7 linked regions of the Ovis aries genome follow. The protein of the gene in region 3 interacts with the protein of the main gene of each other region in a pairwise test. Links are inferred from orthologs where the notes say so. Each region holds a gene or a part of one and is shown on either strand. Other genes may lie near its edges.

Region 1 (4,627 bases), on a different chromosome or scaffold from region 3:
CACTGCTATTTTTAGCTCTAAGCACCTACTACGGCTCAGTCACTTTGCACAGATTATCTCACGGATCCTTACAGCTATCCCGTGAGAGGCTCAGAGAAGGGAAGCAACTTGTTCCAGGTTGCACAGCGGGTGTGAGCTGAGCCCACGTTCTCACCAGCGGTGGACACCCCTGGCCGGGGTCTCTCCCCACCAGGACTTTTCTCCGGAGAAGGCGCCAGGCCTGAGGAAAGAAGGGGCAGCAGCGCCCACCCCAGCAGCCCACCCCACACCGGCAGCCACCAGGCCTGGATCCTGCCCGGCTGGAGGCCCCAAGCCCCACCACACGGCCACCCCAGCCGCCTTCATCCGTCAGCACCCTGCTGGGCGGGCACCAGGGAACCTGGCTTGCTTACTTGTAAAAGGGGCACCGTGCCATCCAGCCTGCCTGGCACACACGGAGGTGTCAGGATGGAGCGAGGCGGAAGGAGGCGAAAGTGAGCGCTCGGTGCCTGAGGGCTGTGCTGGGCCGCTGGCTGGGGCGCTGGGGTGTCTGAGCACGACGGCGTGTGAATGCAGGTGTGTGTGAATGCGAGTGCGTGTGAATGCGGGTGTGAATGCGACTGCGTGTGAATGCGGGTGTGAATGCGAGTGCGTGTGAATGCGGGTGTGTGTGAATGCGAGTGCGTGTGAATGCGGGTGTGTGTGAATGTGTGTGTGAATGCGGGTGCGTGTGAATGTGTGTGTGAATGCGGGTGCGTGTGAATGTGAGTGTGTGTGAATGGGGTGCGTGTGAATGTGCGTGTGAATGCGGGTGTGAATGCGAGTGTGTGTGAATGCGACTGCGCGTGAATGCGAGTGTGTGTGAATGCGGGTGTGTGTGAATGCGAGTGTGTGTGAATGCGAGTGTGTGTGAATGCGGGTGTGTGTGAATGTGTGTGTGAATGCGGGTGTGTGTGAATGCGAGTGTGTGTGAATGCGGGTGTGTGTGAATGCGAGTGTGTGTGAATGTGGGTGTGTGCGGTGGTGAGCGTGTGGGTGAAGCATATGTTCACACGTGCAACTGTGCGTACGTGCACTCACGGGTGGGCATGTGAGAGGGTGAGTGTGAGTGATTAGAGGGGCCCCGGTCACCCGCCCTCAGGCGCCCGAGGGGACCGCAGGCCCTGACCCTGACCTACCTACCGGCTCACCGTCCCCACCGGCTACATCCCCGGCCCTGGCCCATCGACCCCCAGTGGGGGGCTGACGGGCTCGCAGGAGCCCTGGGCAAGGCCCGTGACCCCTCCGTTTCTTCCCTGCAAAGCGGTTCACCGCCGGCCGTGCGCTGCGCCCGGCTGGCCGGATGCTGGAGCCCCCCCGCCCCCGCCGCCCGTCCCTGCCCTTCGCCCCGCGCCGCGGGGTCCCCGCCGCCAGCTTCGCCTCCGCGCTCAGCGCCGCCCCCGCCGCGCGGCCACAGGTGCGCGGGCCGCCGGGGCTCGGCCCCCCCGCGCTGACCGCGGCGAGGCGGTGCCAGGCTAGCGGGCGGCGCGAGCCGGACGCCCGGGCGGCGGCGGGAGCCGCGGGCCCGAGCCCTCCCCGCTCGTCCGCGCCGGCGCCGCGCGTGGGCCCCGCGCCCGCGGAGACATGAGCGCCCGGCGGCCCGGCCCCGTGGCCGCGTGATGGGCTCCTGCGTGTCGCGAGGTGAGGGGGCCCGGGCCGTGCCGGGGGAAGGGGCCCCGCGCCGGGTCGCGCGCAGTCCCTCGGCCGCTCCGAGGAGCCTGGGCGGGGGCGGGGGGACCCACCCGCCCTTCCCGGCGGCTGCACCCCACCGGCGCCCTGGGAGACGCGGGGCCCCGCCTGCATCTGCACCCCAGCAGGCGGCGGGAGCCGGGTCTCTCCCTTCCCGGCGGCCGCACACCCCTGCCTGGGGCGGGGGACACGGAGCGTCTGGCGCCCCCGGCCTCTCCGGAGTGACTCGGGGCACTCGCGGCGCAAGCCGACCCTCGTTCCCACGACCCCCCCCCCCCGCCCGAGACACAGGGCCCACCGCTGTCCGCGTACCCCACTCCCTGTCTTCAGACTGAACACCCGCGGCAGGCGTTAGCGGGAGGAACAGGGTCTAAAGAAGACCCCGGCCCCTCCTGCCGGCGCCTCACCCCGCCAGCCTGGTGCGGGGACAGGCGGGGACAGGCGGCCGGCCCGGGAAGCCGCGGCCTGTGTCTCCGCCCGGCTCTCTGCTGCCTGCTGGTGCCTGACCCCTGGCTGTCCCCGGGGTGGAGCAGGGAGCCCCGGGAGCCGCTCTGGGGGGCGGTGGGGTGGGCAGGGAAGGGGTGGGCAGGTGTTGGAGGCTGCGCCGGGTCCCTTCACCCCGCAGCGGGAGCAGCAGGGCTGAGGTGAGGGCGGACAGACCCTGGCTCCCACTCTGCGGTATGAAGCCAAACCCACTGACCCCAGGCACAGCCTTGGGGGGCCACCGCCGCATCCTGCACCCCAGCCCTTCCTCAGGTGTGGAGGGGTAACCAGGCCTGGGTAGGGGCTAGGCAGGCTCCAGGGGACCCGCCCTGGGAGATGAGGGTTGGGGGGGGGGGTAAAGGGCTCTGCCTGGGGGCTCTGCTCACCAGGCCCCCAGGGTTCAGGTAAGTGGCTCAGGATGTCTCAGGAGGGTGGGATCGTGCGTGGGGGCTGGGCTGTGTGAGGTTCTTTCATTCATTCATGAAGCTGACGTCAGCCTGACCCCTACTGTGTGCCAGCCACTGTGTACACACTGCGTGCCTAGAGCCGGTGAGCCCAGCATAGGGTCTGCTCTGGGCCTCCAGCCTGGCCAGAGGGGAAGGTACTATGTAGAGTGGAGAGTACCTAAGTTTCTTTAGAGCCAGCAGGCTCTTGGTGTGTCTGCAGAAGCCCGGAAGGCTGTGCAGGCCCCTGGTATTGGGGTCCCGGGGTCCCCTTTCCTTTGGCCCTCCTGCGCACCCGGCCGTCCTGTGCCAGGCGCCAGAGGCCCGGCCCCAGGAGACTTGCCCGTTAGCCACAGACCAGGGCGGTGCTGTCAGGGCTGGGGCAGGGGCTCGGGTCCTCTGACGCCCCCGTAGCTGGTGGACCCTCTGCCGTGCCCTCTGGGGGCACCCGGAGGTCTGCGCCCTTCCTGCTGTGGTTTGGGCTCCTCGTTGTATATCCTGACCTTGTGCCCTCCTGACGGGGTCTGCCCACTCCCAGTGCCAACATGCCCGCAGGCAAGTTGGATGCAGGTACAGGAAGCGTGAGCTCCCCTTGAGCCGAGGACACCCATCGTCCCATTGCTCTGGCTCGGGGGGTCTGAACCCCTGAGTGGAGGCCACCTGCCCCCCTAGCTGTCCCTGCTCCTCCCAGAGTGCGCGCGGCTCACCAGGGGCTGGTGGGAACGTTCCAGGCTCCACTCGCCAGTCTGGGGTCTGTACTAGCACAGCCCGCATTTTACAGGCAGGGAAACAGTCTGGGGCTGCGTGGTTAAGAAAGAGCAGAAGCGAGCCTTGGACGCGGTCATGCTGGCTTCGGCACCCGTGCCCTTGTTCTCTGTGCCACACAGCCGGCCGTTGGACCCAGGGCTGGCCTGGCCTGCTCCTTCCAGCCCCCGGCCTCTGGATTCCAAGAGCCTCTGAGTCTCCACGTGCTGAGTCACTCAGTCGTGTCTGACTCTGTGCAACCCTATGGGCTGTAGCCCTCCAGGCTCCTCTGTCCACGGGATTCTCCAGGCACGAACACTGGAGTGAGCAGCCATGCCCTCCTCCAACCCAGGAATTGAACCTGCGTCTCTTAATGTCTCCTGCATTGGCAGGCGGGCTCTTTACCACTGGCGCCACCTGGGACGCCCGGGAGCCTCCACAGCAGCCCCCGCACTCCACGTGCCAAACTTGCAGCCCGAAGCCGGGCGAAGCCGCATCCTTCTGCTGCCCACAGCCACCCAGGGCCTGCAGGCGACTGCAGCCGCCCAGCCAAAGCCCAGGCTTCGGGCCACAGCTGGGAGAGCCACCCCACCCAGCCCTGGGCAGCAGTTAGCCCCCTCGAGCCAGCCCTGAGAGGGTAGGAGTGCGAACTCTGGAGCCGGCCGGCCTGCTCTGCCCCCGCGGCAAGTTACTTAACCCTGTGCATGTATCTCAGTGTTCTCATCTCTAAAATGGGAATGGCACTTCCATGGATGTCTTAGGGGTACTGGAAGTGAAAGTGATAGTCGCTCCGTCGTGTCCAGCTCTTTGCGACCTCATGGACTGTAGCCCGCCAGGCTCTCCAGTCTATGGAATTCTCCAGGCAAGAACACTGGAGTGGGTTGCCATTCCCTTCTCCAGTGACCTTCCCAACCCAGGGATCGAACCCAGGTCTCCTGCATTACAGGAGGCTTCTTTACCAGCTGAACCACCAGGGATACTAGGAGGGGATTAAATGACTTCCTATAGAGCACTCAGACCACTACCTGGCATGTAGCAAGCCCTTTAAGTGTTAGCTGGCACTTTAGTTTTTAATTTTTGTTAGTATCCTTCTGTGCAGAAGCTAATCCAGACCCTCTTGGCTGGGAAAGGGGAAGCTACAGGGGCTTTGAGCACCATCCAGCCTTGCAGGAAAAGACACACTGAGGGGTTGAGGACGTGGGGAAAGTGATTGGGCCCAGATGGAGGCACCAAATGCCTTTCCTCAGAGC
Region 2 (4,475 bases), on a different chromosome or scaffold from region 3:
CATAATTTTATAGGAATATTTATTTTTAAAGGTTAGTTTATATCCAAAAGATATTTATTTTTTCCTTGTTGTTATGCCCCTACTCTTGTCATGAACAGTTCACCAGGTCAATGTTCTAACGTGCTCATACTATTAAATTCACTCACAAATTTAGTTTGCCTTTTTCCCCCTTTTAGAATAACTTTTCAACTCACTGGCAACAGTAACCAAGGAAATATAAATCCAACAGCTTAGAATTACAACTATTTGAAGAGACTCATGCTTTCAATGTACTGTTAAACATTTATAGTTTCATTCCAGACTATTCCCCGCTTCTGAATTTCTCACTAAATGTTAGACGTGATGGGCAGAAAATCTGCACTATGCCTCGTCAGAGCTTTAAAATTCAAGGTAGTATGTTTTCCAAATTTAAGAAAAACCACTTCTTCATTTTCGTTAACTTTTAGCTTTCCTTGTATCGGAGTACATTTTGTGTATAAATATTATTTCCAACATACTTAAGCCAAACATGATGAAATTGCTGTTTTATTTATTGCAGAGGGGATGTCAGATATAAACTAGTTAGTTGCCTAAGTACCATGGTGATCACTTATTAAATACCAACTCTTCAAGTACGGCAAAGGATATTGTGCTCTCATTGAAAAGAATGAAACTGTTTGTAAAACTGAAATTGACTATTTTAATCTTTATGAAATAGTTTCTGGACAGATTTTTTCCCTCCAACTGACCACATGATTAGAAAGGATAAACAGATTTACCAGTTGTTTATTACTTCTAGAATCCTTAGCAATGTTTCATTAACAACAAAAACCTTTCTGTCTCATCCCATGGTCTTGGGCAATCAGAGAGTAGTAGTTGGCATTTATGAATATTTTCTGATTACTCATTAAGTGGAAATATATTAAAAAAGAAGAAAATTTTAAAAGAAGCAAAGTCAAATAGCTCATGCTGACTTTAATAACTAACAAAGATGTGAGAATTGCAAAATGTTTAGAAGTTTAGCCTAAAATTTGTTTGTATCTTTGATTTTTAGCAAACACTGTACTGATAAAAATGAGTTTGCTCAGATCAAGGGTATGTTGGCATTCTCTTAAAACATAGCTTGAAACCACAGAGCCCAAGCAAAAAAACAGCTCTGACAAAGACGGCCAGTCAAGCATAAAAATGGGAGTTGGTTGTGTCAGAATAGATTAACAGGCTGAAGGCTGTCCGCTAAAGACAGTTGTCTTGCCATCAATGAAGGCAATCATTACCACTAAAAGTTACTTTTCTGATATGTTATTTGCAACTTCTATCATAATATATTTTAAACGCTCCTTATTTATAAATGATTACATCATTTTCTTATCTGCAGCGTCCTTCTTGGATAACCACAACTTGAAAGCGGTCCAAAATCTTGCTCATGGTTTCCTACAAACATACGAGCACTTACTAAATTGAACTGTCTATCTGGAGTTAGGGGAATGTGTTTGGGTTTTACTTTTACTTCCTTTTTAAATATAGATCACTATTTCTACAATGTAAACATCCAATGGCATTCCCTCACAGCGACAGGAATCCCAAGGCAGAAGATACGCTGTAGGATTAATTTATCACTCACCCAGAAGGGTGCCTCAAATGCCTGGGTCAGTTATGGCCAAGGAGCTAGCATTATTAAGTGCCTTATGACTTTACAGCTATCCTCTATCATTCCTGTTCAGCAACGCTTCCAAAAGATCATCAGAGAAATCTGGCAAGCCACTGAAAATGGTACTTGTAAACTGGATCCGTTCAAAGCCATCCACAGTGACCTGTGGGTGTGTATCCGACTGTGACTGGGTAAAGAATTTACGTGCAATTTCATTCCCAAACTCGATTTTACCTCATTTGTAGGTTATTTCTCACGAGTACCCAGTTCCCGCCCAGAAACAAGTCAACAGAGTATTTCTAAACCATCATTTCAAATTTCCAGTGTCAAGGGTGGGAGGAGGAAGGAATAGTAACGGGAAGACTTGTCAGCGATTAGCCATCCATAAAAACGCACCCCCCTCTTTCCCAGCACAATGCTGGCGTCACTTCGTCTCCTGTATCTGTTCCCCATCTCGCCCCCCTCCCCTCTGCGGAGACTTGGCACCGAATGGCAGGCGAAGGAAAAAGACAAACACCCCGGCTCCCAACACAATCCAAGCGTTAGCCTAGAGACACTTGAACAACATTCCTAACTTTTTTTTTCCTGCTCATTTCGCCTGCCTCAAAGGTAAGCAGAGTAAAAACGGTATGAGGCAGGGGGCCAGGGAAGGCCAGCTGAGTCACATTCGCTGCCCTGCATGCACCCCGATTTCTCCAGTGTCCTCCCCAAGCCCTCCGGCCACAGCAAACGGTTACTCAGCTGCGAGTCTGGGTCTCCACCGAGCCTGTCCTCGGTGCGGACCCAGCCCCGGGCCGGGGGCGGGAAGGGGTGTCGGGGACGGACGGCTAGCGCGCACCCCTGCCCCCTCGCCGGGCCACAGCCCCGCACGCCGGCGGGCCGAGCCTTCGCTGACAGGTCCCAGGTGCCGGCTGCCCGCGCGGCCGTCTCCCCGGAGCCGTCCCCTCCCGCTCCACCTCAGACAGGCCCCACCAAGGAGGTACAGGGACGGGGAGCACAAAGAGCCCCGGCCACACGCCAGACCCTTCCCTGTGGAAGAAAAACTTCGCTGCACACGCGTCCAGACACGCACACGCCCGGCGCGCGCCGGGGAGGGCATCTCTTACCTGTCCCCGCGCTGCTACTCATCGCCCCCCCCCCCCAATCCACCCACCCATGGAGGTCTGGCCGCCCCCCGCCCCGAGGTGGGTCCCCCGGCCGCCCGCTCGGAGCGGCTGCACTCACTGCCTGACTGCGCGCGCCCAGCGCCTGCAGGGCCCGGCGGCGGCGGCGGCGGGGACCGAGACAGCGGCTGCAGCGGCGGCGGCGGCGGCGGCCCCAGCCGGCGTCAGTCAGACTGGAGCCGCGAAGCCTCATCGCCCGTATTAGTGCGCCGACCTGGAAAGCCGCCAGGAGTCCTGCTCGCGGGTCCGCCCCCGCCCGCCGCCGCCGCGCGCCCGGAGCCGCTCGGGGAGCCCGCCAGGAGGGGGGAGCGCGGCCCGCCCCGCGGCCACGTGCGCGGAAGCCCGCGGCGGGGGCGCCTCGGGGACGCCCGGGCGCGGGGTCTCCCGGGCCCCCGGGCGGCGTCCGGGTCCTCCCGTGAGACCCGACTCCCCTCGTCCGCGGCTCGGCCCCCTCGGCTGGGCGGCGGGGGCACCTCGCGTCTCTCTCCCCGAACGTCCTGCCTCTCCACCTAGAGCCCGAGGCCGGAGGACCGTTTCCAGAACTCGAGGTGTGGAACCGACAAATCGGTTTGGAAACCGCCACCCCCAACAAGTGGCTCTTCCCGACGTGTTTCTGAGTCCCGAGGGTGGCTGTTCCTTGCTGTTTGTCTCTTACTTGCTTTGCAAGAGTAAAGGGGGTCATTACCCCCAACCGACAGCGCCAGAGTAACTGGTTTGCCCCTGCATAAGCGGATGAAAATCGACTCACTCAAGAGTGGTGAGTGGTGGTTAAAACTAGGCATGTAATTTTGTGGGTTGTCGTTTCCTTACCCGTATTTATTTGCTTAACAGCCTAGCCTATAATATATACTGTTATCTAATCTAATAAAGGTACAACCTTTGGGCACTGAGCAACGTTAATGGGTTAATGGACAACCTTCCTTGCTCACGGCCCGGCTATCCCCCCTGGATAGCCTGTCTTTGGAGGTCGCTCTGGGCCCCTCGAACCCGCTCAGAACATGTGTAAGAAATGCCACCAGCTTACTGATGGCCTTTGACCCCCATCAGCCAGCGGTTCTTCATAGAAAAGGCATTTACTGCAGGGATGAAAGAATACTAGAAAAGAAAAGAGAATAAAGCCACAAGGGACAGCATTCAGTTTGCTCCTGTATGTAGGAAAATCAGTCCTCCAGAAGGTCCTGGTAACCTGTGAAGCACAAGGCCGTGGATTGAACTGCCTTTTCTTGTCCTCAGAGCACTGCCCTTTCTTCCTGTGGCAGATGCCATGCTTGCATTATCACACTGTTGTCCACTGAGCAACGACCCTGTGTAAAACAGCATTTGTGTTAACACTTGAATCATCTTTATACACCTGTGCTCCAGGCTAGGTGTTAAGTTTGAGATTGCTCTGGGTGTGAAAGTCCAGGAAACCTTTGGACTGCTACCAATCGCACTTCCTGGGCATTTTATTGCAGGTAAAATAATTAGATCCTCAGAACTGATACCCTGTAGCTTGTGTTTTTTTTTTAATGTTGTTAAGAAATGACCCAGCCACTGTTTCCTTCCCTTAGGTGCATTAGACAATGCAGAGGACTCAAGGCAGAGCAAGAAATGATAACCTCTGCAGTGCTGGCTCTGGCTTCCAGCAGTCTTTATAGGTTCTCTGAGTTCTCTGTGCTCTTGGCAGGCCTTGCTTCTGCAGATTC
Region 3 (2,663 bases):
TGGTTCTCGCTGTGGAGCTGGCAGAGGGAGGGCACCCCTGAGGGTCCCCAGTGCCACTGCTGACCCACTGCCTCACCTGTCTCACAGTGCAGGATGTCAAGTGCGACATGGAGGTGAGCTGCCCAGACGACTACACTTGCTGCCGCCTACAGTCCGGGGCCTGGGGCTGCTGCCCTTTTGTGCAGGTACCGAGGAATGGGGAGTGGACTGCGCTGAGCAGAGGGCAGCCGCCAGCCAGTCCCCTCAGGCCCACTGTCCCCTCTCCCGCCACCCTAGGCCGTGTGCTGTGAGGACCACGTGCACTGCTGCCCGTCCGGGTTTAGGTGTGACACAGAGAAGGGTGTGTGTCAACAGGGGACCCGCCGGGTGCCGTGGATGGAGAAAGCCCCAGCCCACGTCAGCCTGCCGGACCCCGGAGCCGTGGAGGGGGATGTCCCCTGTGATAACGTCACCAGCTGTCCTTCCTCCACTACCTGCTGTCGACTCACGTCTGGGGAGTGGGGCTGCTGTCCTGCCCCAGAGGTGCCTGGGGAGGAGGATGATTTAGGGGAGGGGGGCAGTGTCCTGGCCTGGGCACATGGCCAGGCTCCTGTTGCCTTGCTCTTCTGCCTTCTGCCCAGCCCACGGGGGACCCCAGCTCAGTCACAGTCATGCCCAGCTCGAGGAGCCGAGCAGGAGAGGCAGGCTGGGGGCTGCAGGGGCTCAGCGCTCTGGCCCAGAGTAGCTGCCTAAACCACCCTTTTCTGCCACCTCCCCAGGCTGTCTGCTGCTTGGACCACCAGCACTGCTGCCCGAAGGGCTATGCGTGTGTGGCTGGAGGGCACTGTAAGAGGGGGAAGCAGGTGGTGACCGGACTGGACAAGGTGCCTGCCCGCAGGGCCTCCCCGTCCCACCCCAGAGACATGGGCTGTGACCAGCACACCAGCTGCCCGGTGGGGCAGACCTGCTGCCCGAGTCTGAGGGGGGCCTGGGCCTGCTGTCAGTTGCCACACGTGAGTACCCACCTGCCCAGTCCTGGTCAGGGCGGGGCCCCGTCTCAGGTGGGAGGGGACGTTAGTGGGGGTGAGAGTGCGAGGCCCTTTTGTGTTCCATAGGCCGTGTGCTGTGAGGACCGCCAGCACTGCTGCCCGGCTGGCTATACCTGCAATGTGAAGGCCCGATCCTGTGAGAAGGAGGTGGACCCTGCACACCCTGCCCTCCGCCTGGCCAGCGGCCCTCTTGTGGGCGCGGGGAACGTGGAATGTGGGGCGGGGCACTTCTGCCACGATAACCAGACCTGCTGCCCAGACAGCCAAGGGGGCTGGGCCTGCTGCCCCTACCGCCAGGTCAGTGCCACCCCCCAACCCAGGGGCTGGGTAAAGGCCTGGGCCAGGTCCTGCCACGTCCAACTCTCGCCCCCTACTCTGACCATCAAGGGCACCTGTTGTGGGGACAGGCGTCACTGCTGTCCCAGTGGCTTCCGCTGCGGAGCCAAGGGGACCAAGTGCTTCCATCGGGAGGCCCTGCGCTGGGACGCTCCTTGGAGGGACCCGACACCAAGACAGCTGCTGTGAGGAGGGCCTGAGGACTGAAGACACTTGGCGGCCCTCAGGACCCTGCTCAGAGGGTCCCCACTGCTCAGGCCTCCCCAGCACCTCTCCCCCACCACATTCTCCCAGACCCCCTTCTGAGTCCCCCATCACCCTGGGAGGTGGGGCCTCAATCTAAGGCCTCCCCTATGCCAAGGTGAGGGGGGCTGTGGCAAAAGCCACGTTTCAAGCTGCCATCCCCTCCCCCAATTTCTGTCAACCCTGTGGCCAGGTGCTCTTCCTATCCACAGGTGTGTGTGCGTGTGTGTGTGAGCGCGTGCGTATGTGTGCTGCAATAAAGTTTGTACACTTTCTTAACAGTGTCTGATTTGGCCACTCTGCCTGCCCTCCCCAGGGGCCCCTGAGCCAGGGTCCCCATCCAGTGGCCACATTCCCCAACCCCCACAGAAAGACACACAGCAGCTCATCTCACCAGTTTTATATTTGCTGTTGCCCACAGTGATCCCATCACATTACTCCCTAGTCCCCGGAGCCGCCCCAGCCTCCAGCCCTGTGACATCGCAGCCCAGAGGTGGGCTAGTCAGCAAGCAGCACCCCCTACCCTCCCAGGGGTCCGCTAGAACGCCCCCTCCCTTCCCGGCCCTCAGGCTAGCAGCTGAGGCCTCGTTGCCCCTCCTGCTTTCCCACGATAGAGCTTTCTATGTACAGCCACGTTTATACAGGCACTGCTTCCCCCCACCCTGCCCTCCTCCCCAGCACCTCCCATCGAGGTTCTGGTCCCCCCTCCCTCACCTCCCTCTCGGAGGCAGACACGGGTCCCTCCCAAGACATTACCCAGCACATACCACCGGACAGCTCCGCAGGGCCCCGGGCCCCTTTCCAGGCGGGGCTGGGGGCTAAGGGCGAGGGCCCCCGCGGCCCCCCGGAGCGCGCACCCTGGGGGCGGGCCCGGGCGGAGGGGGCGGGGGCCGGCCCGGAGGCGGCGCCAGGCCGGGCACTACTTGACGTTGAACACCATGAGCGGCCGCTCCTCCCGCCGCTGCCACGGGCTCTTCTTGTCGCCCGCTTCGTCGCCCACCTCCGCCCCCAGCTCGTCCTCCGGGCTGGTGAGCGAATCGCGCCGCAATTCGCTGG
Region 4 (4,522 bases), on a different chromosome or scaffold from region 3:
TTGCCCTGCTTCATTCTGTATTCCGAGGCCAAGTTTGCCTGTTACTCCAGGTATTTCTTGACTTCTGCGTTTACTTTGATTTAATTTGGACAGAACTGGTTCTTTAGTCTGTTTTGTAAAAAGAGCTTCGTGATGAAGCACAAATGTAAGTGTTAAAATAAATGAAACCTGAAGATATGTTCTCCCTACCTCCCACTCCCAGTTTTAAATGTATTAAATTTTCCAAAGTTCTGCTGGCCTTTTTTTTTAAAAATTAGTGTTAATTTAATTTCAGGTCTCCACTTTATATAATAAGAGCTCCTTTGACATGTCAGTTCAATTATTTGAATCTCTTGTTCCTTGAAAATAATTTTCGATTATGAATTTCAAATGAAAAACAGGCAGTGACCAAAACCTGAATTGCCTCTACGCGTCTGATTAGGTACCAGCATGCGGCTGACACCTGCTGGAAAGGTCCTCTGCGGGCTTCTCCGACCCTGGGCCCAGCAGGGGCCCCCCTTGCCTCTGCTCCAGGCAAAGAGGCCCATCTCCACAGGCTTCCCTCAACTCTCAGGAGACTGTCCCCCGCGGGAGAGTGGTCCCAGGGTTCACCCACGTGTCCTCAGAGAAGGAGCATTAGAGTTCATCGTGATAATCAGGGTTGGGCCCTGTGACCCAAAGCCACACCCAGGCAATGCAAGTGGTTTCGGAAGTCTTGAGCAGGCTGTGACCTGCCGGACCCTCCAGGGGTCTCGGCTCGCTGGCAGACGCAGACGCCCTCTTTGGTGGGCAGCCTGGCCTGTGAACCACCACGGCAGGACGCCTTGGTGAGACTGCAGCTCTCCGCCCTGACGCAGACTCACCCGGCGGGTAACTGGCGGTGGCTAGGCTGGGGGAGGCGGAGGAGCACCGCGGAGGGGTCGCAGGCTAGTCCTGAGGCGCCGTCAGCCTCCTTGCCGTCGCTGTCATTGCCTCGTGCGCGCCCTTCACGGACGCGCCTGGTTCCCCGGCCCCCGCCTCAGCACAGCCTCACCCCCGACGCCGCCTCGGGACGCCCACCCGCAGGGCCGGCTGGCTCCCCGGGCCGCACGGCCTCCGCCCCACTCCGCCCCGCTTCCTGCCTGCACGCCCTCGGGAGGGGACACGGGCGGGACAGCCGCAGCCGCAGGCTTGACCGCGCGGCGCTGGAGCCCGGGGGCGCTGATCTATTTCAGCGACCGGAACTGCGAGGCGACGAAGAGAAAGCCGCGGGCAGAGACTGCCCCGCCCACGCCGGGCTCGGCCCCGCCCCCCTCGAGTGTCGGGCCCCGCCCCCAGGCTGTTATTGGCTGCCAGCCCGGATGTCCCGTTCACTGGCGCATCTCAAGGAGGTGGGCGAGGAGCTACTGGCAAAGCCTCGGCGCTCATTGGTCCCTCTGCCCGTCAGTCACGCGGCGGCGGCGGCCTCAGGAGGCGGGCCCGGCGGTTCCGGAACATGGCGGAAGGTGAAGGCTGGCGGGTAAGCTCCGTGGGCGCTGGGGGCCCGGGGAGCCGAGTCCGCCGGTCGGAGCGGGCGGGCGGGCCCCTGGTCCCCGCTCACGCCCCCGTGCCCGCCCCCGCAGCCGCCGCGCCCGTGCGAGGCCTACCGCGCGGAGTGGGAGCTCTGCCGCAGCGCCGGGCACTTCCTGCGCCACTACTACGTCCACGGCGAGCGGCCGGCCTGCGGGCAGTGGCGGCGCGACCTGGCCAGCTGCCGCGAGTGGGAGCAGCGCCGCAGCGCCGAAGCCCAGGTGAGGCCAGGTGACCCGAGCCGGCCCGCCGAGCCCCGGAAGGCCGGGAACCAGAGGCGCCGGGCGCGGGGGGCGGGCCTGGAACGGGGGCTTCGGGCCCAGCCCTCCGCGTGTGCTTTGATTGGTATCATTCAAAGGCCAGTCTGGCAGCCAGGCTGGGAGAGGGCGTGGTGCAGTCACGGGAGTCCAGTCAGGAGGGGCCCTTGGTCCATCCGTTCAGCAGACGCTTCCCCCTGGACGCTCTTGGACGTACAGGAGAGGTTAGAACCCGATCTCTGCCCTCCTGACTCCTACATCCTAGTCTGGCATACAGTGGTGCCCTGGAGCTGATGGGGCAAAGGGTGGAGCGGAGCTGTGAGGGTGCAGAGCTCTTGGGGTGTGCCAGCAGGACTGGCGAGTGTAAATGCCCAGTCCCTGAGCAGTGGAAGAGAAAGTTGGCGGGTCTGTGTGGCAAGAAATCAATAACTGATACACAGATTGTCAAGATAGCTCTTATATATCAGTATGAGAAATGGATTTCACAGTGAAGTGGACAAAAGGCATAGAGAAGGGATTCACCCTGAAAGGACGTCAGATGGCCTGATACACATTTAAAATGACGGTGAGTGGTTTCTGCCCAGCGGAACATCACTGGGGTTTGGAGAGTGAGCACCTGGGCAGTGCTAGTGGAATGTGGGGTGTTTTGATTGCCTAAATGTCAAATGCATGCCTTTTGATCTCAGAGGGCTGCCCGTGACCCGGTCTCCTTTGCAGCGGTCCCTGTGTGAAAGCGAGCGGGCCAGAGTTCGGGCTGCACGGAAGCATGGCCTGGTGTGGGCGCCCAGGCAGAGCCCCCCAGAAGACTGGCACCTCCCTCTGCCTGAGGACAAGGACGGGTGACCGACCCAAACAGTCCAGAGGGCCCCTGGGAGCTTCCGCCCTTGCCTCCAGCCTCGCCTGCCCTGCCGTCATCACCAGGCTTGGAGCCGGTCCACCCAGCATGCAGTGTCCCTGTGGGCAGCCAGGGAGGCTGTCCCAAGGGCTAGGCTCCTCAGACGAACCCTCCAGGGGCAGCTCTGACCCGTGGGGACACTTGGGGGGGAATGAGGTGGCCTCCCCACCGGCCCTGCTCTGGTGGCCACCACGCACCTTGGTTCTCTCCCGCCACGGCCACTCACTGCTCCTTCCCTCGGAATTTCACCCAGTCGTTTTTAGAAAACGTGGATAATATCAGAAGAAATTTCACAGGTTTGATTCCAAATAGAAACTGCAAATTACACCCAGGCTTTCATATTGAAAGTTAGATGCAGGCAGGGTTAGAATTTTGTACGTTTTTGTAGATGCTCTTAGAATACATGCCCTTGAACCAAGAACCCTCCTTTAGAGGTCTCTTTCTTCTGCTGAAATGGTGTAGCCTCTGGGGCCGCGCGGCGGACCCACCACTGGGCGCTGTTCACCCAGCCTGCGGCATCTCGGCGCCTCCCCCTGGGCCCCAGCCAGGGCACAGGCGTGGCTCCGCATCACGGAACCCGTTCTTGGGGGCAGAATAACCCACCCCTCAGAAGGACGTTCATTATTGGGCCCCCGTGTGCCCCAGGAGTCCTCTGTGGCTATGAGCGGTGGGGGTGCATGCACGGGACCCCCGGAGCAGAGGAGAGCATAAAGAAGGCGCAGGGTGCCCCTTCTGGCAACAGCTGAGCCCATCAGCCGCGGCTGCAGCTCTGTCCACGGGCATTTCTGTGCGAGGAGAGGGTGGCATGGCTGGGTCCTCCCGGGTCTGAGACCCCCCGTGGGGGGCTGTGTGCTGGGAATGGCAGCCACCCCCTGGTTCCCGGGATTCGTGCAGCAGGGCGCAGGCACCATGAGGAGCCCCACGCCTGCTCGGATGCTGAGCGTGCCTCCAGTGCAGGGGAACATGCCTGTGTCAGGCATGTCCACGCCCTGGGACCGCACACCCAAAACGGACACGTCGCCTCCGTCCCATTGAGTTCAGGGGACGGACATGGACGTTCAGGCGTCAGCCGTGAAGGTTGAAACGGGCAGCGTCTTTCAAACTCGGGACAGAGGCCATGGTGACGAGCAGTTTGGGTGGTGACCCGGTGCAGCGTGGTCTCAGGGACGCTGGCAGTTCTGGGGCCAGGGTCAGAGCGCCATCCTGGGGAGCCTGTGATACGAGGATGCGCGGCGGGGAGCCGGGCCCCGCTCGGGCAGCGCTGTTGTTCTCTGGTGTAGGTGAGACTGGCCAGCCTCCAGCCTCCTGTCAGCCTCTCGTGACCTCCAAATAAAAGTTTGAGACAAAACAGTTGGCCACGACCTACTGACTTGGTTATCCAACCTCACCGAGGAAAGCTACAGGCCTGAAAAGCACCTGTGAGGGGTGGGGCGGTGGGGAAGGCTCTGAGTGTAGCCCTGTCCGAGGAGCAGTCTGGAGGCTTGCAAGGCCGAGAAGGAGCCACAGGCTGACGAGGCCGGTGCACAAGCTGCGTGCTCACTCAGGTGAAACGGCCCCTGGCATGCCTGCCCTGAGGTGGGCCTCTGCCTGCAGGGACCCTCACTGCTGGGCTGCTTCCTGCCCCCACCCAGTTCCTCTGGAGGAGGCCTACCCCCTGCTGCTCTGTGCAGGCCGAGTCCCTTCAGTGGTGTCCAACTCTGTGACCCCAGAGACTGCAGCCCGCTGCTGTCTTGGGGGCTCTCCAGGTCGGAGCACTGACGTGGGCTGCCATGCTCTCCTCCAGGAGCTCCTCCTGACCCAGGGGCCAGAGCTGCATCTCCCCCGGCTCCTGCACCGCAGCCGG
Region 5 (3,872 bases), about 24 Mb from region 3:
AAACCATTAAGTAAAAACTACCAAAGTAAATTTTCCTTTTATAGGTCATTGAGTTCACTGCTTTTCACTGTGAGACTTCCCTGGTGGTCCAGTGGCTAAGACTGAACTTTCAGTGCAGGGGGCCCAGGTTCAATCTGTAGTCAGGAAACTAGATTCCATTTGCCACAGCTAAGACCGACTACAGCCCAATAAATTAATTAAAAAATAAATAAATAAAAAGAGTTGTGATCAGGCTTCCCGGGTGGCTCAGTGGTAAAGAATCCACCTGCCAATGCAGAAGACACGGGTTTGATCCCTGCTCTGGGAAGATCCCACGTGCGATGGAGCAACTCAGACCGTATGCCACAACTGTTGAGCCTATACTCTAGAGCCCCGGAGCCACAACTTCTGAGCCCATGTGCCGCAACTGCTAAACCCCACACACCCTAGAGCCCGTGCTCTGCAACAAGAGAAACCAACGTAATGAAACCCATGCACCACAGCTAGAGAGTAGCCCCTGGTCACCTCAACTAGAGAAAAGCCCACACAGCAACGAAGTCCCCGCACAGCCAAAAATAAATAAATAGAGTAGTGGCAAGCTATTAAAACACAGTGTGATAAACATCTTCAGAGCTTATCTCCATAACCCATTTTAATTCTTTTTTAAAAATAATCAAAAACCTTAGAGTCAGAAATTCTTTGACTTATGCAGACCAAGTCACTTATATGACAGTTTAAACCAGTTTCTGCTTATTTCAGTTTCTGGTTGGAAAACTTCACAAAGCATTTGTGTAGAGCCTGTCATGCTTGATGCCGTTAACTACTTGCAGTCCATTTTCTAAATTGTCTTTCATGGTATTGTAACCTCCACCTACATGAGAGAGTAACAAAGAAAATGTCATTTATGAATAAACAACATACAGATCAGAACAAATTGAAATTTTGCTCTGCTCCTTTAACTTGTCTTAGCAGCCTACTTTTAAAAGCCAGAGTAGATTGCCAATCTACTGATGCTAATTCTCTCTTCTCAAATGTAAAAATTTGTAGAAAATAATTATGACAAAACATTTTTAAAAATCATTTTGTTTACTGTTAGGCACAAAGCAGATAATTTTGCTGGAAATTGCAATATCTTTAGTTACCTGATCATGTAAGCTTCTTACTTTGGATTTAGCGTGTCTTCCAGATAAATTGCCAAAAAATGAATCCAGATCTTTTTTTTTTTTTTTTTTTTAAACAAAAGGCCTGCTTTATAAGAGAAAACATTTTCTGTTGGTTAAGGTGGTGTTTTCTTTTGGTTTAATACCAGAGAAATAAAGTGGATTTTTAGTTTTCTTTGTTTTGTTTTAAAAGATAGCCTAAAAATTTTTGGTCAAGTAATAGAGTTTTAAAATATTATGTGTTATTTGAACACTGGTCTTTGGGAGGATTTGATAAACAACATATGCCTGTTTTCCTTTTTGGTATAGTTTTTCTGTGTGGTCGGAAAATGTACTTTCATTTTAAGTTTCAAAGATGTTGGTTTCATTCTGATTTGTCCCCACATACAGACATGCATTCATTTGATGTGACCAGACATAGTAGATTCAAGATAAAAAGATAAGATTGCCAAAAATTAGGGGTAAAATATGTTTTCTTTAAAGCAGTAGTTTTCCATTGCTTTTTTAAGCTACGAGATCCTTTTTTCAAATAAAATATGTTAGGACCTCAACTTAGAAGGCAGATAAGTATTATTTTGTCAGTTATATTAATAATATTGACTCAGACTTAATCAGTGAGAACACTGGAGCTTAGATGGTCATTCCTCTCTTATCTGTTCCTCAGTGCTCCCAGTTTCTGTTTTGGTTGCCTAGTATCAAGAAAGCCTCAATTCCTGAAAATAAGCAAAATTTGCTGGTGGTGGCACTGCTGCCGTTTACTAACAGCTCACCTTGCAGCCTCCAAAAACTTTTCACTTAAACAGAAAGGGCAAGACTTCGCTGGTGGTCCAGTGGTTAAGAATCTGCCTGCCAATGCAGGCATGGCTTCGATCCCTGGTCCCTGGTCCCGGAACTAAGATACCACGTGCTGCAGGGGAACCAAGCCCATGAGCTATAACTAGAGGAGAGAAAAAAGCCTGTGTGATGCAGCAGAGACCCAGCACAGCCAAAAATAAACAGAAAGCATAAGATTCATTCCTAGGTTTGTAGGTGAATTAACCAGTCTTTCTCATTTACCGTCATGTTCTAGCATACTGCGTAAAATATAATAGGCATTCAGTTAATTAAATGTTTATGGCATGAAGAATTGAAGGGACCTGTTAGCATTAGTATTCTACAGTGTGCTACTTTTTGACAAATTCACATATTGGAATGTGGATTAATATTTTAAATATTTATAGATTCATATGAAATTTAGGTAAAATGTTCATGGAACTCCTGAAGTACCTCAGGATTCAGCAGGACTCTGAAACCCATAGCTTTGAAGAAATTTTACTGTGTATATTCCATAAAGATAGTGAACATATGGGAATTCCCTGGTGGTGTAAGTGGCTGGGGCTTGATGGCTTCACTGCCAAGGCCTGGGGTTCATCTCTGATCAGGGAGCAAAGATCCCACGAGCCATGCAGTGCAGCCAAAAACAAACAAAAAAATAGTGAACATAGTTAGCTCAGGAGGTCGTTTTCTTCCCTTATAATATCTTCCTCCATAAGCAGCCTTGAAAATAAATTAGCTTGGTTTCTTCATTAAACCTAAAAGTATACATTCAACTGCTTTTTGTTTGTTTCATTAATTACCAGTTAAAAACAAATGAAAGTGAAAAGCTTGTCTTTAAGATAATTCTGTATAGAAATAAGGAAGTTTGAGACTTTCTTCCCTCTCATCCAAATAATATCAAAATATACTGACACAATGTACTCCACCTGTATCATTGAAAACTTTGCAAAGTTCAGAGGTCTGTCAAGGTTTTAGTTTTTTATTATTTTGTTCTACTATTCCACTTGTAAATATATTTGTCTATTTGACAACATTTTGATAATCTCTTCTGTTTAGATTTGTGATTTTGGATTGGCCAGAGTGGAAGAATTAGATGAATCCCGTCATATGACTCAGGAAGTTGTTACTCAGTATTATCGGGCTCCAGAAATCCTGATGGGCAGCCGCCATTACAGCAATGCTATTGACATCTGGTCTGTCGGATGTATCTTTGCAGAACTACTAGGACGAAGAATACTGTTTCAGGCACAGAGTCCCATTCAGCAGGTATGATTTCACTCTAGGCTTTAGGAACTTTCCATTCTATTACAGATTTAAAGGAAAGACCATCTTGTGCACACCTTGGGCTTATTCACTGTACTGTCTACATTGCTTTTAGCAAATTCAAGTTCTCTTAAAATTCAAAAAGTTAGGAAGATTACAGAGAGATTGATTTTGCAGCTTACGAGCCTATTAGAGGGAATGTTGGCTTTATTACACGCACTGATGCATGGCAGCAGACTCCGCTGTAACAGTTTGCACAGGTGTAATCTTCAGTGGTTCAAGAGCCTCTGTTCTTTCTAACTGAATGGATCTGACTTGAAAATGTATTTGGTGACTTAATGTACTTACACTTTGTGCTTAGAATATAAATTTTGAGTGTTGACTTCTTTAAATGTGAACATTTAGAACCCTTTCCAACCTTTATTGGACTAAATTATTTAAATATGGCAGAGAATATCAGAAGCTGATTAAAATGTTGGAAACCATTTGTGGTACTTTAACTGTCTGCCTTTATAAACTAATTCGTTACCCACATTTTCTTTGGTCTAATTCTTAAGTATTTTTTATTCATAAAAATTTTAACAGTCTTGTTTGCATGAGAAGAATGTATCAATGGTGAGTCAGGCTGTACAATCCAATTGGTGGATTCAAATC
Region 6 (3,872 bases), on a different chromosome or scaffold from region 3:
ATATTTTGTTCCTGGAAGCCCAGGAAGTAATCATGAATTCTGAGAATGGAATTGTGAGTGCTGGTAAGATGTTTACATGGTGCCAAGTCTTTTCTATAGGACTGAGATTTGGGATCCTCTGGCATGAAAAAAACTGTTAGACTTTTCTATAACCTCATAAAAATTTGGTACTCCGTAATGTAAACATACGTTTAAAAAGTGGAACTAGAAGAGGGATGATTTCAACCACGTAAGAAAGGAGGCGTTGCGGCTGTGGGTCTGCGTGAAGTGGAGCGGCGGCGGCGGTGGCAGGGTTTGACTCGGGAGGTTTTTGATCACGAGGTGACAGTGTCGGAACACAGTCCTCTCCGGGGGTGACAAGCCCAAGTCAGGCTGGGGGCCGCGCGCCTGGGGGGACGTCTGGATGGGTCCTTCTTGAAGGGGCGACGAGGAGGCCCTGGGGGCCGGCCCTCTTCTGCAGTGCCATCCCCCGGCAGAGCCTCAGGCAGGGCCGCGCCCAGGGCTGTGTCGGTATGCAGTGCATTCTGAAGTTTGTGTTTTTTCCCTAAATTAGGAAGCTAAGTGTGGCTTCAGCAGACAGATTTTGGAAATACTAAATAGTACTGGGTAAGTAAATCTTGTTTTCAGAGAATGTATTTAAGAAATTCTAACTTTTCTGTTCTGACATTGATTCTTCTCAGTTGTTATATCTGTTCATGTATTTTTATCTATTTATTTTTGCTGTAGCATTTTATGAATGCTTTAACGTAGACCACAGTAGAATTTTTTTGACCAATGTCAACCTATTGGTAACATAAAGGAGGTATTTTGGCAGACATTGAGATAACTATTTGTCTACTTTCCCAGAGGAAAACTAATAACTGAGTTCTTAGCATGCATAAAGATATTTTAGGGAAAGTGTATTATAGATTTTTAATTTTCTTAAAAAAATATTCTAGCTTCCAAATAGTTTGTGAAACAGGAAGCACAGGAAGATCCGTTATCTGAGTCTGAGAGGTGGGTAAATCAGATTGTGGGGCTCATGCTTTTGATCTCAGTGACGAAGCTGCCAGGTAAGAAGACTGGAATTGTGGTCAAACCGCCTATTTAGAGATACTTAGCACATGTTCTGTGTTGCCCAATGTTTTTGCTTATTTTTCTTCCTTATTCTCACCTGCCTCTTTTCCGTATTGTAAGGATTCTAACTGTAGCTTTAGATAGACTCCTATGACGTGACAGGAAAAGTCACCTTTGAAGTGTGTGGGCATTCTTGGGCTGGGCGGAGTAACACAGCCCCAAATGCAGCTTTCGGGACAAAAGAAGAACAGCCATTCTGTTCAAGTGACTGTGATGCTTCACAGAGGAGAGACTGGTCGCTGTTGTGCTCCGGCCTCCAGCTGCCCCATCCTCACGCTGCCTTGGGCTGCAGTCGAGGCTGGCGCGGCTCTGGTCACTTTCTTCCCTTTGCCACATCTCCTGTGAGTCACCCTCAGGCCACCTGTCCTTAGTGCCAGCTAGTCCCCTGGGGTTCTGAGACCAGGATGGGACAGTTCTGGGCCCATTACAGCCTAAGTATTTGGTGGAAAGTCTCCATCACTTACTTTCTGTCCCATGTCTGTCTAAGCTGGATTGGATTGGAAGCACCAGTTCCCCCAGAGCAGGGAGCTTCTTTGGGACGGAGTACCTTCCCGACTCCAGGCTGGCTGAACCCTTCCAGGGTCTGTTGACGTGGAGGACTGTGGTCCTGCTGGAGCTGTTGGAATGTGGGGGGCGCTTCTAGCGCTCTGTTCCTTTCCTCCATCCTTGCTCTTGTCTGTCCCTTCTGAGGAAAGACATCTGCCCCGAGGGGCTGAGCACCCCCATGTGCCTTGGGGCGTGGGAGGCGCCCTTTCAGGGAACTTCAGGAGGTGTTCTGGCAGCTGTGACTCGCCACACCTGTGAACATGTAGGCCCAGCACTTCTTGGATCCCTTGTATCAGGGGCAGTTCCAGAACTCAGTGTTTTTTTTCATATTGTGTCAATTAGGAGATCTGCCTCTTTAGTTCAACTTGAAGGGAGACTTATACTGTGTGGTTCTGTTTTTCTTTTTTTAATCTTTTTTGCTCTTCTTTCAGACGTTACATTCTTGATACTTGTTGCTGATTTATCCTGTCAAGTTCTTTTTTTTGACTCTTTCTTGCATCATGGACTGTTTTCTTTGGAACTTGTGTATTAAGTTGGAGAAGGCAGTGGCACCCCACTCCAGCACTCTTGCCTGGAAAATCCCATGGATGGAGGAGCCTGGTAGGCTGCAGTCCATGGGGTCGCTAAGAGTCGGGCACGACTGAGCGACTTCACTTTCACTTTTCACTTTCATGCACTGGAGAAGGAAATGGCAACCCAGTCCAGTATTCTTTCCTGGACAATCCCAGGGATGGGGGACCCTGGTGGGCTGCCATCTATGGGGTCGCACAGATTCGGACACGACTGAAGTGACTTACCTTAGCTTGTGTATTAAGTAAACAGGATTTCCCTATGAAAATGGCTTTGGTTTTATGGAAAACGAAATTCGTTTTTTCATACGTGGCATTTTCTTTGGCCAGGGTTTGAAATTGCACATGCGCTCACAGTCTTCCTGCAGGGATCCAGTCACACATGCTTACTCGTTCCTTGACCACCTTGTAATAAAATCCTCCTGCGTAGATGTGGTTGAATTTTCACTCATTTATACTAGCAGCCTCATGACACGGCATGCAGCCACAGCCCTCGCGCTGGCTGCAGGCGTCGTGGGGAAAGCACACGTGCTCTGCGTGCTCTGTGGGAGGCTCATTCCCAGCGGGGGAGCTGCCTGAGGGCGTGCCCCCCGCTGGTGAGCTCGCAGCCTCCATCCCTGGGTGCCGCAAGGCTGCCCCCTCTTGCTCCCGAAGCAGAAAATCCAGAAAAATTTCTATTTTGGGATGACTTATTCTGTCAAGTACAAGACAGATAAAGAAGTAAAATAATTTGTTTTTCCCCAAATTTTGTTAGCATCGAAATAGTTTTACTTTTCTTGACTGTTTCTGAAACACCAAATAGAGTTTATAATTTTTGTCTAAAACTGTATTTCTTGTCAAAATGTTTTCTCTTTTTTGTAGGATTGAATATGAGACATTTGATATATTGGAGGATGAAGAAGTAAGTTCTGTGTTTTAGGTTTTGTCTTTTGTCTTAGTTTTAACCATTAGGATTGTCATTTATTCTAATCTGATAGGATGATTTCAGGGTTCCTGTTGTTTCCGTAGGTTCGGCAAGGATTAAAAGCTTACTCCAATTGGCCGACGTACCCTCAGCTGTATGTGAAGGGGGAGCTTGTCGGAGGACTGGACATCGTTAAGGTGAGGTCAGGAATCACTGGGAGCCTGGAGGAATGAAAGCCTGAGCGTGGATGAAAACTATTGTTTCACTGGACTTGTCCTTGGTGTCCTTTTCTGGCCTCGTGTCTGATCGCTCCAGCCCAGAGCTACCATCTCTCCAACAAGAATATCTTGTCTCTTATCTCTCACCGGAGCCAGTCAGAATCAGCCCCTCTGTATGGCCTCTCCTGCCCACTAGGTCCTTTGCTCTGGTTCTGAGGAGCTGCCAGCCAGGGTCCCCAGAGAGACTCAGCACTCAGAGCAGCTCTGGGCGTGGCCAGGCTCCACCCCTGCTTCACTCACACGGCACTAAGTTCTTCCATGTTTTAGCTTCTTTCCACCCTGTCTCTACTTTGAATTTCCTTGCACAGTCCGTATTTAAATATGCTTTCTGTATCCTTCAGGCTCCTCTTGTCTGTGAATCTTAGGTTTTTTCATCCAGAAATATTTGTTTTGCATCTGCTTCTGAAGTTCTCCTGCCATGTTACATTTATATTACTATAATTTTATTACTTTCTGGTG
Region 7 (4,669 bases), on a different chromosome or scaffold from region 3:
TTTCCGCCGCATACAAGAAACTTTCATCTCAATCTCCCCCTCTTCACTCTCCTCCCTCTCCCCTCTCCTCTCTCTTTTTCTTCTCTTAATCCCGGGGTTTTACGGGTTGAGCATTAAGAAAATTCGCCTGCAATTTGGGATTAGATAAATACTCTCATTAGGAGGGGGGGGAATTGTGCTACTTGATACCTCCCAACTTCCCCCAGATCGCGGCCGCATCTGGAACCGAGAGAGCCTGGCTCCCGCGTGGAGGGCCCTGGGGACCGCCAGAGCACATTCCAGCGCGCACAGCCGCCCCACCTTGCCGGACCTCGGCCCAGCGCCGCCGCTGCAGGCGCAAGGGGGCCGGGAGGAGGCGGGAGGACGAGGGTTTGGGAGACCCGGCACGCACCGAGGCCGGAGAGGGCTAACTCAGGCACACAGCGCGCAGGCCCCGGCCGGGATAGCGCCGGGATAGAGGCGCGGAGGCGCAGAAGCTCAGGGGAGTGCGCCCAGCGTGCCGGCCAACTCTTCCCGACAAACTAGTGCGCTCCAGTCAGCGCTTTTCCCCAGAACCGAAGGCGGGGGCTATATTTCGTTTCTAGCTTTAAATCTCTGCGCATCTCGGGGGCTCGGAGCCCAGGGCCTCGCGAACTATTCCCCCGCGGGGGCCTGCGCGAGCCTAATATGTGTCCCCACTCGAGTCAGCGCTGCGCTCTGCGCAGTTTCTTTTCCTGTTAAGGCTTTATCTTGTTCGTGTTTTTCCTTTTCTCTCATTCTTTTATTGTTTTCGCTCTCTCTTTCTCTTGCTTTTGTGAATGGGCCGCGGTGTCTTTGTTCTGGAGAGAAGCGCCCGTGTCGCTGACTTTTGTGAACCAGAGAAGGATCTTGTAAAACCTTTTCTCCTTCATACTCCCCCCCCACACCCCTCCTCTTTTGCCCCTTTGATTAGATGTTCCCTCATCGTCAAAAAAAAAAAAATGTAATTTCGTTAGTCTGGCGGCCACTTTCTTTGAACATTAGCTCGCTTTCAGCTCCAACTTCAATTAGAAGGAGTTGATTTTGAGAGATCAACAAAAGAACCGACCAAAGCCTTATTAAAGGTCCTAAGAAGATCTCCCGGGTTCTTTGAGAAGCAGTTAAGGAAACAGTGTGCCCTCCATCATATTCTGTTACCGTATTTTATTCGGACTCCAAAGGAAAGTGTCGCTTGGGGGAGGGGAAGCACTTTGATGAGCGGCGGCCGCGGCCCCTTTTCACTCAGCGGGCTCCCCCGTCCTTCTCCGCCACCTCCTCGCCCCGCGCCCGGTGCGTTCTCGGTGCCCTACCCCGCGGCCCCGCAGCGCCGGTGCTCCCCACTGCGAAGCGCCCGGCGGCTCCTAGACTCGCCCTCACACTTACTCTGGTTCAAACTTTTCACTCCGCCTGTTGAGGTGGAGGGGAGGGGGCGGGGGGGAGATTAAGAAGAAGCGGTAGGAATTCCTCGAAAGGGGGTAAGTAAAGTCGGCCTAATATTCAGGAGGAGGTGCCATTTAAAAGAATTGCATTACTCAGCGTTGGGGCGCAAACACTTTTTTTGCGCTTTGAAAAGTCCACCCAGGTAGACGTGTTTTGAGAAGTTTGTTCGACTGGGAAATGGGCTTCGCCAGTACGAACTATCCGGGGAGATCGCTCAAGGAGGCTCCGGCGGCATGAAGGAAGGAAACTGAGGGCAGAGTCTGTGGCCACGTTTTCCACTAGATTGTCCCCTAGTAAAAGGAGCCAGTGTGAAAGACAAAGTTTTCTATCCAAACCTTTTGATTCAGAAGTACAGTGTATGTGTAAAGGGGAGGGGACGCTGGGAGCCGACATTTCAAAAGAAGCTTTCAGGATTTGCAAACACCTATCGTGGGGACTGGAAACTCCAGGAGACGTCGAAGAGCAGGTAAGTGGCCGTGCCTCCCTTGCGGGTGCGGCTCAAGGGCACTGGAGTCCTGAGGCGCCGAGGCGGGATCTGCGCGCTCGGGTCTGCTCCCGCTCTCAGCAAAGTAGCCCGGACCAGCACGAGTTGCCCGCCGCGTGCGTCTGCGGGTGATGGCCCGGTGCATGAAGACTCTGGGGCCCGCGGATGGCCCGGTGCATGAAGACTCTGGGGCCCGCGGCGTCGGGAGAGGGGCCGGAGGCCGGTTCCCCTCCAGCCCGCAGCTCCCGGCTCCTCGCGCCCATCGGGTGGCGTGCCAGAGAGCGAGGGAACCGGTTCTCCAGCACCTCGCCTCCTCTCTGCCACTCCCTCCAGGGCGCCAAAAGGGCGAGAGAAGGGCGGGGAGCCCCGGGGCAACCTCAGGGCCAGCGTTTCCCTCCGCGGCCCGGGCTCCCGCGCGGCGCTCGCCTTGCTCGTCTTGCTCTGCGCTGCGTTTGCCAGTCTAGCCCCGGAGTTAGCGCGCGACCGGGGCGGGGCGGGCGGGCGGTGAGGGCGGGGTGCAGGGGGCGGGGGAGGGCGGGGGAGCGCGGAGGTAACCCCCGGCTCGTGCTGCCATTGCCCGGCTCCCTGTCACTCAGCCCGCGCGGGGCCGGGGATTGGCAGCCTAGCCCCGTTACGCACTCACCTCGCGTTCACATACCCGGGGAGGGCAGTAGAAAGGTGATCAATCTTCATCAGGCTACATTTCCAATCACCTAAACAACCCGGCGAGACAAGCCACTCCGACAAGGTAACTCGCTTGATTTATTTAGTTTGCAAAGTGCCTCTGCAGGACTTCCCCAGCCCCCACCGCCTCCACGCTGCACGGAGTGCCACGGCAACCTCGAGCCACCTCCCAGCTCTGCCCCTCTTACCCCCACCTTCTCCTTGCGGCCCCCTCGGTGCGGTCCCGGGTGAGGCACTGTGTCGGGAGCGTGTGGGGCTTTGCAAACAAAGTGTCTGTGCAATAAAGTGAAACCTGGAAGGACACGCACAAAGCCACTAGAAAGAAAGAGAAAGGGAGGAGGGAAGTTGGGGAAAGAAAGAAATCCCGCGGCTCCCTGACCCCCCGCCCGGGCCCGCGGTAATTCCTGTGCCGCTCTGTTTTGCAGGTTGGCCGTCCAGAGGGTCTGTGTGAGGGCGAGAGGTAGATGGTGAGCGGCCCCGGCAGCTGAGGGCAGGTAAGGAGAAAGCCGCTGGCCGCCCGGGACTCTGGGAACGCGTCGTGGCTCTTGCCCCCCGCCCCCCTCAAATGGGTCCCCGCTTCCCCGGTCCCTGGCATGTGGGGGGCGGGGCTGGGAAGCCACCTGGCTCCCCTCTTGCTGAGCGGAGGACCCCGGAGCTCCGCGGCGGCCCCGCACCCCTCCCCCGCCTCCTCCGAAGTAACCCAGCTAAAGTGCTAAGTTTGAAGAAAGTCTTTGAAAACTCACCATTGCAGTCTAGCAGAGTCGCCACAGCTGAGTCCCATTCTCCCTTGGCCCCGGCTCTTTCCCTTTTGTCGCCTTCCCTGCAAACCGAGTTTTCCCGGCCCAGGCCGTGGGTCCCTGGGGAGAGAAGCGGGAGACTTCTCTAGCTCTAACTTCTTTCTTTCCCTGAACTCTTCTAGCCCGGGTCCCAGGTCTGCTTTAAGTTCCTGTGAAGCGGGCTAAAGCGACAGGTCCTCTGGGGTCTCCGTCCCACTCTTCCAGCGCTACTTCCTGACTCCTGATTGTAGCACCTCCGTTTGGGGGGCAACCTGGGGAAGCCAGGCGTCGACCTTCCTGCCCGGGGCAGCGCGAACTACGCCGCAGAGGCCTAGTTCTCTAGTCTGGATCGGGTCCTCGGGCTCTGGTTCAGCTAGTAGAATAATCCGGAAGCGCACCAGACCTATTGCACTGAGGCTTCCCAAATCCGCCAGACCCTTGGGGCGCTGGTCAGGTCACCTTTCGACCCCGGCCGGGACCCCATTGTCCGCAGCCAGGACTGGCTTGCTCTGGGGAAGCACGGCCTGCGGCTGTGGCGAGGTGCGGGTGATCCCGGGCGGCGTGTTTGAACCGCCACCTGTACGGTGGCGCCTTCTGGTCGCCTCGGCCGGACCTGGGCTCGAATCGGTGGTAGAAGTGTGGGTGGGATTCCGGGTAAGCAATCTCTCAGCGGCCAGGCACAGAGAGGTAAACTGGTAGAGCGGCTGTGGGACCCAGCCGCGGAGACTCTGGAAGGATGTACTCAGTGAGCAATGCGTCCCGGAGAGGCCCAGGTGCCGCGAGCCCTCCGCTGTGCCTCACCTTGGCTCTCTGGAGTCTACCTGTCCGTTCCACTTTCAAAAACATTTGAAACAAAACGAAACAACCCCTCATGCTCTGGGTCTCCTGCTGCCTTGAGGTCGAGGGGATGTTTGCTTGTGTGGTGTGATGCCCTCTCCCACCCGAACAGATTTTTGCCTAGTCTTGGGACCTAGCGCACTCTGCGTTTTGGGCTCTGACCTCCCAAGGTTGCCCCCGATTTTAACCTCTCCTCACTCCTAGCGTCGCCCTACGAGTGTCTGTCCCATTCCAAGCCCGAAAAGAAGTGATAATGATCCAGAAATTTTACTTTTCAAAGAATCTGTGGTCTTCGGGCTAAGGCCTTATAGAGCCGAGTTCTGCACAGATCCATAGCCTGCGTCACCTCCCCATCCTGTGACTCCTTCCTCCGGCAAGACCAGGAAGCAGTGGTGGCTTGGAATGACAGTTTCGGTGTGTCATTTGTCTCCATAGGCCGGGCCCCCAGACG

Evidence for each region.
Region 1: the proteins of GRN (region 3) and FAM131C interact in binary tests that used the Homo sapiens proteins (3 or more experiments, as listed by UniProt). The link is inferred for Ovis aries from reciprocal best matches to the Homo sapiens genes GRN and FAM131C.
Region 2: the proteins of GRN (region 3) and SMAD9 interact in binary tests that used the Homo sapiens proteins (3 or more experiments, as listed by UniProt). The link is inferred for Ovis aries from reciprocal best matches to the Homo sapiens genes GRN and SMAD9.
Region 4: the proteins of GRN (region 3) and C17H22orf39 interact in binary tests that used the Homo sapiens proteins (3 or more experiments, as listed by UniProt). The link is inferred for Ovis aries from reciprocal best matches to the Homo sapiens genes GRN and C22orf39.
Region 5: the proteins of GRN (region 3) and NLK interact in binary tests that used the Homo sapiens proteins (3 or more experiments, as listed by UniProt). The two-hybrid records come from large-scale screens. The link is inferred for Ovis aries from reciprocal best matches to the Homo sapiens genes GRN and NLK.
Region 6: the proteins of GRN (region 3) and GLRX3 interact in binary tests that used the Homo sapiens proteins (3 or more experiments, as listed by UniProt). The link is inferred for Ovis aries from reciprocal best matches to the Homo sapiens genes GRN and GLRX3.
Region 7: the proteins of GRN (region 3) and OTX1 interact in binary tests that used the Homo sapiens proteins (3 or more experiments, as listed by UniProt). The two-hybrid records come from large-scale screens. The link is inferred for Ovis aries from reciprocal best matches to the Homo sapiens genes GRN and OTX1.

What each region holds. Positions count from the first base shown.
Region 1 is NC_056055.1:249,709,057-249,713,683, forward strand, and holds the start of FAM131C (protein FAM131C), read left to right. Parts: upstream 1-1,521; 5' UTR 1,522-1,637; coding exon 1,638-1,659; intron 1,660-4,627.
Region 2 is NC_056063.1:25,018,366-25,022,840, reverse strand, and holds the start of SMAD9 (mothers against decapentaplegic homolog 9), read right to left. Parts: upstream 2,966-4,475; 5' UTR 2,852-2,965; intron 1-2,851. UniProt on the Homo sapiens protein: Transcriptional modulator activated by BMP (bone morphogenetic proteins) type 1 receptor kinase. SMAD9 is a receptor-regulated SMAD (R-SMAD).
Region 3 is NC_056064.1:43,892,458-43,895,120, forward strand, and holds the end of GRN (progranulin), read left to right. Parts: intron 1-87; coding exon 88-185; intron 186-276; coding exon 277-522; intron 523-758; coding exon 759-992; intron 993-1,094; coding exon 1,095-1,325; intron 1,326-1,415; coding exon 1,416-1,553; 3' UTR 1,554-1,886; downstream 1,887-2,663. Other genes in the region: protein FAM171A2, read right to left, coding at 2,527-2,663. UniProt on the Homo sapiens protein: Secreted protein that acts as a key regulator of lysosomal function and as a growth factor involved in inflammation, wound healing and cell proliferation. Regulates protein trafficking to lysosomes, and also the activity of lysosomal enzymes.
Region 4 is NC_056070.1:72,728,212-72,732,733, reverse strand, and holds C17H22orf39 (UPF0545 protein C22orf39 homolog), read left to right. Parts: upstream 1-1,439; 5' UTR 1,440-1,453; coding exon 1,454-1,477; intron 1,478-1,580; coding exon 1,581-1,748; intron 1,749-2,501; coding exon 2,502-2,627; 3' UTR 2,628-4,029; downstream 4,030-4,522. UniProt on the Homo sapiens protein: Negatively regulates long-term potentiation and modulates adult synaptic plasticity. Stabilizes the interaction of RTN4 isoform A/Nogo-A with its receptors, inhibiting clustering of postsynaptic AMPA receptors at synaptic sites.
Region 5 is NC_056064.1:19,697,524-19,701,395, forward strand, and holds part of NLK (serine/threonine-protein kinase NLK), read left to right. Parts: intron 1-3,011; coding exon 3,012-3,221; intron 3,222-3,872. UniProt on the Homo sapiens protein: Serine/threonine-protein kinase that regulates a number of transcription factors with key roles in cell fate determination. Positive effector of the non-canonical Wnt signaling pathway, acting downstream of WNT5A, MAP3K7/TAK1 and HIPK2.
Region 6 is NC_056075.1:48,924,103-48,927,974, forward strand, and holds part of GLRX3 (glutaredoxin-3), read left to right. Parts: intron 1-553; coding exon 554-606; intron 607-3,092; coding exon 3,093-3,132; intron 3,133-3,239; coding exon 3,240-3,332; intron 3,333-3,872. UniProt on the Homo sapiens protein: Together with BOLA2, acts as a cytosolic iron-sulfur (Fe-S) cluster assembly factor that facilitates [2Fe-2S] cluster insertion into a subset of cytosolic proteins.
Region 7 is NC_056056.1:45,201,436-45,206,104, reverse strand, and holds the start of OTX1 (homeobox protein OTX1), read left to right. Parts: upstream 1-1,794; 5' UTR 1,795-1,903; intron 1,904-2,590; exon of another isoform or gene 2,591-2,669; intron 2,670-3,030; 5' UTR 3,031-3,099; intron 3,100-4,653; 5' UTR 4,654-4,669. UniProt on the Homo sapiens protein: Probably plays a role in the development of the brain and the sense organs. Can bind to the BCD target sequence (BTS): 5'-TCTAATCCC-3'.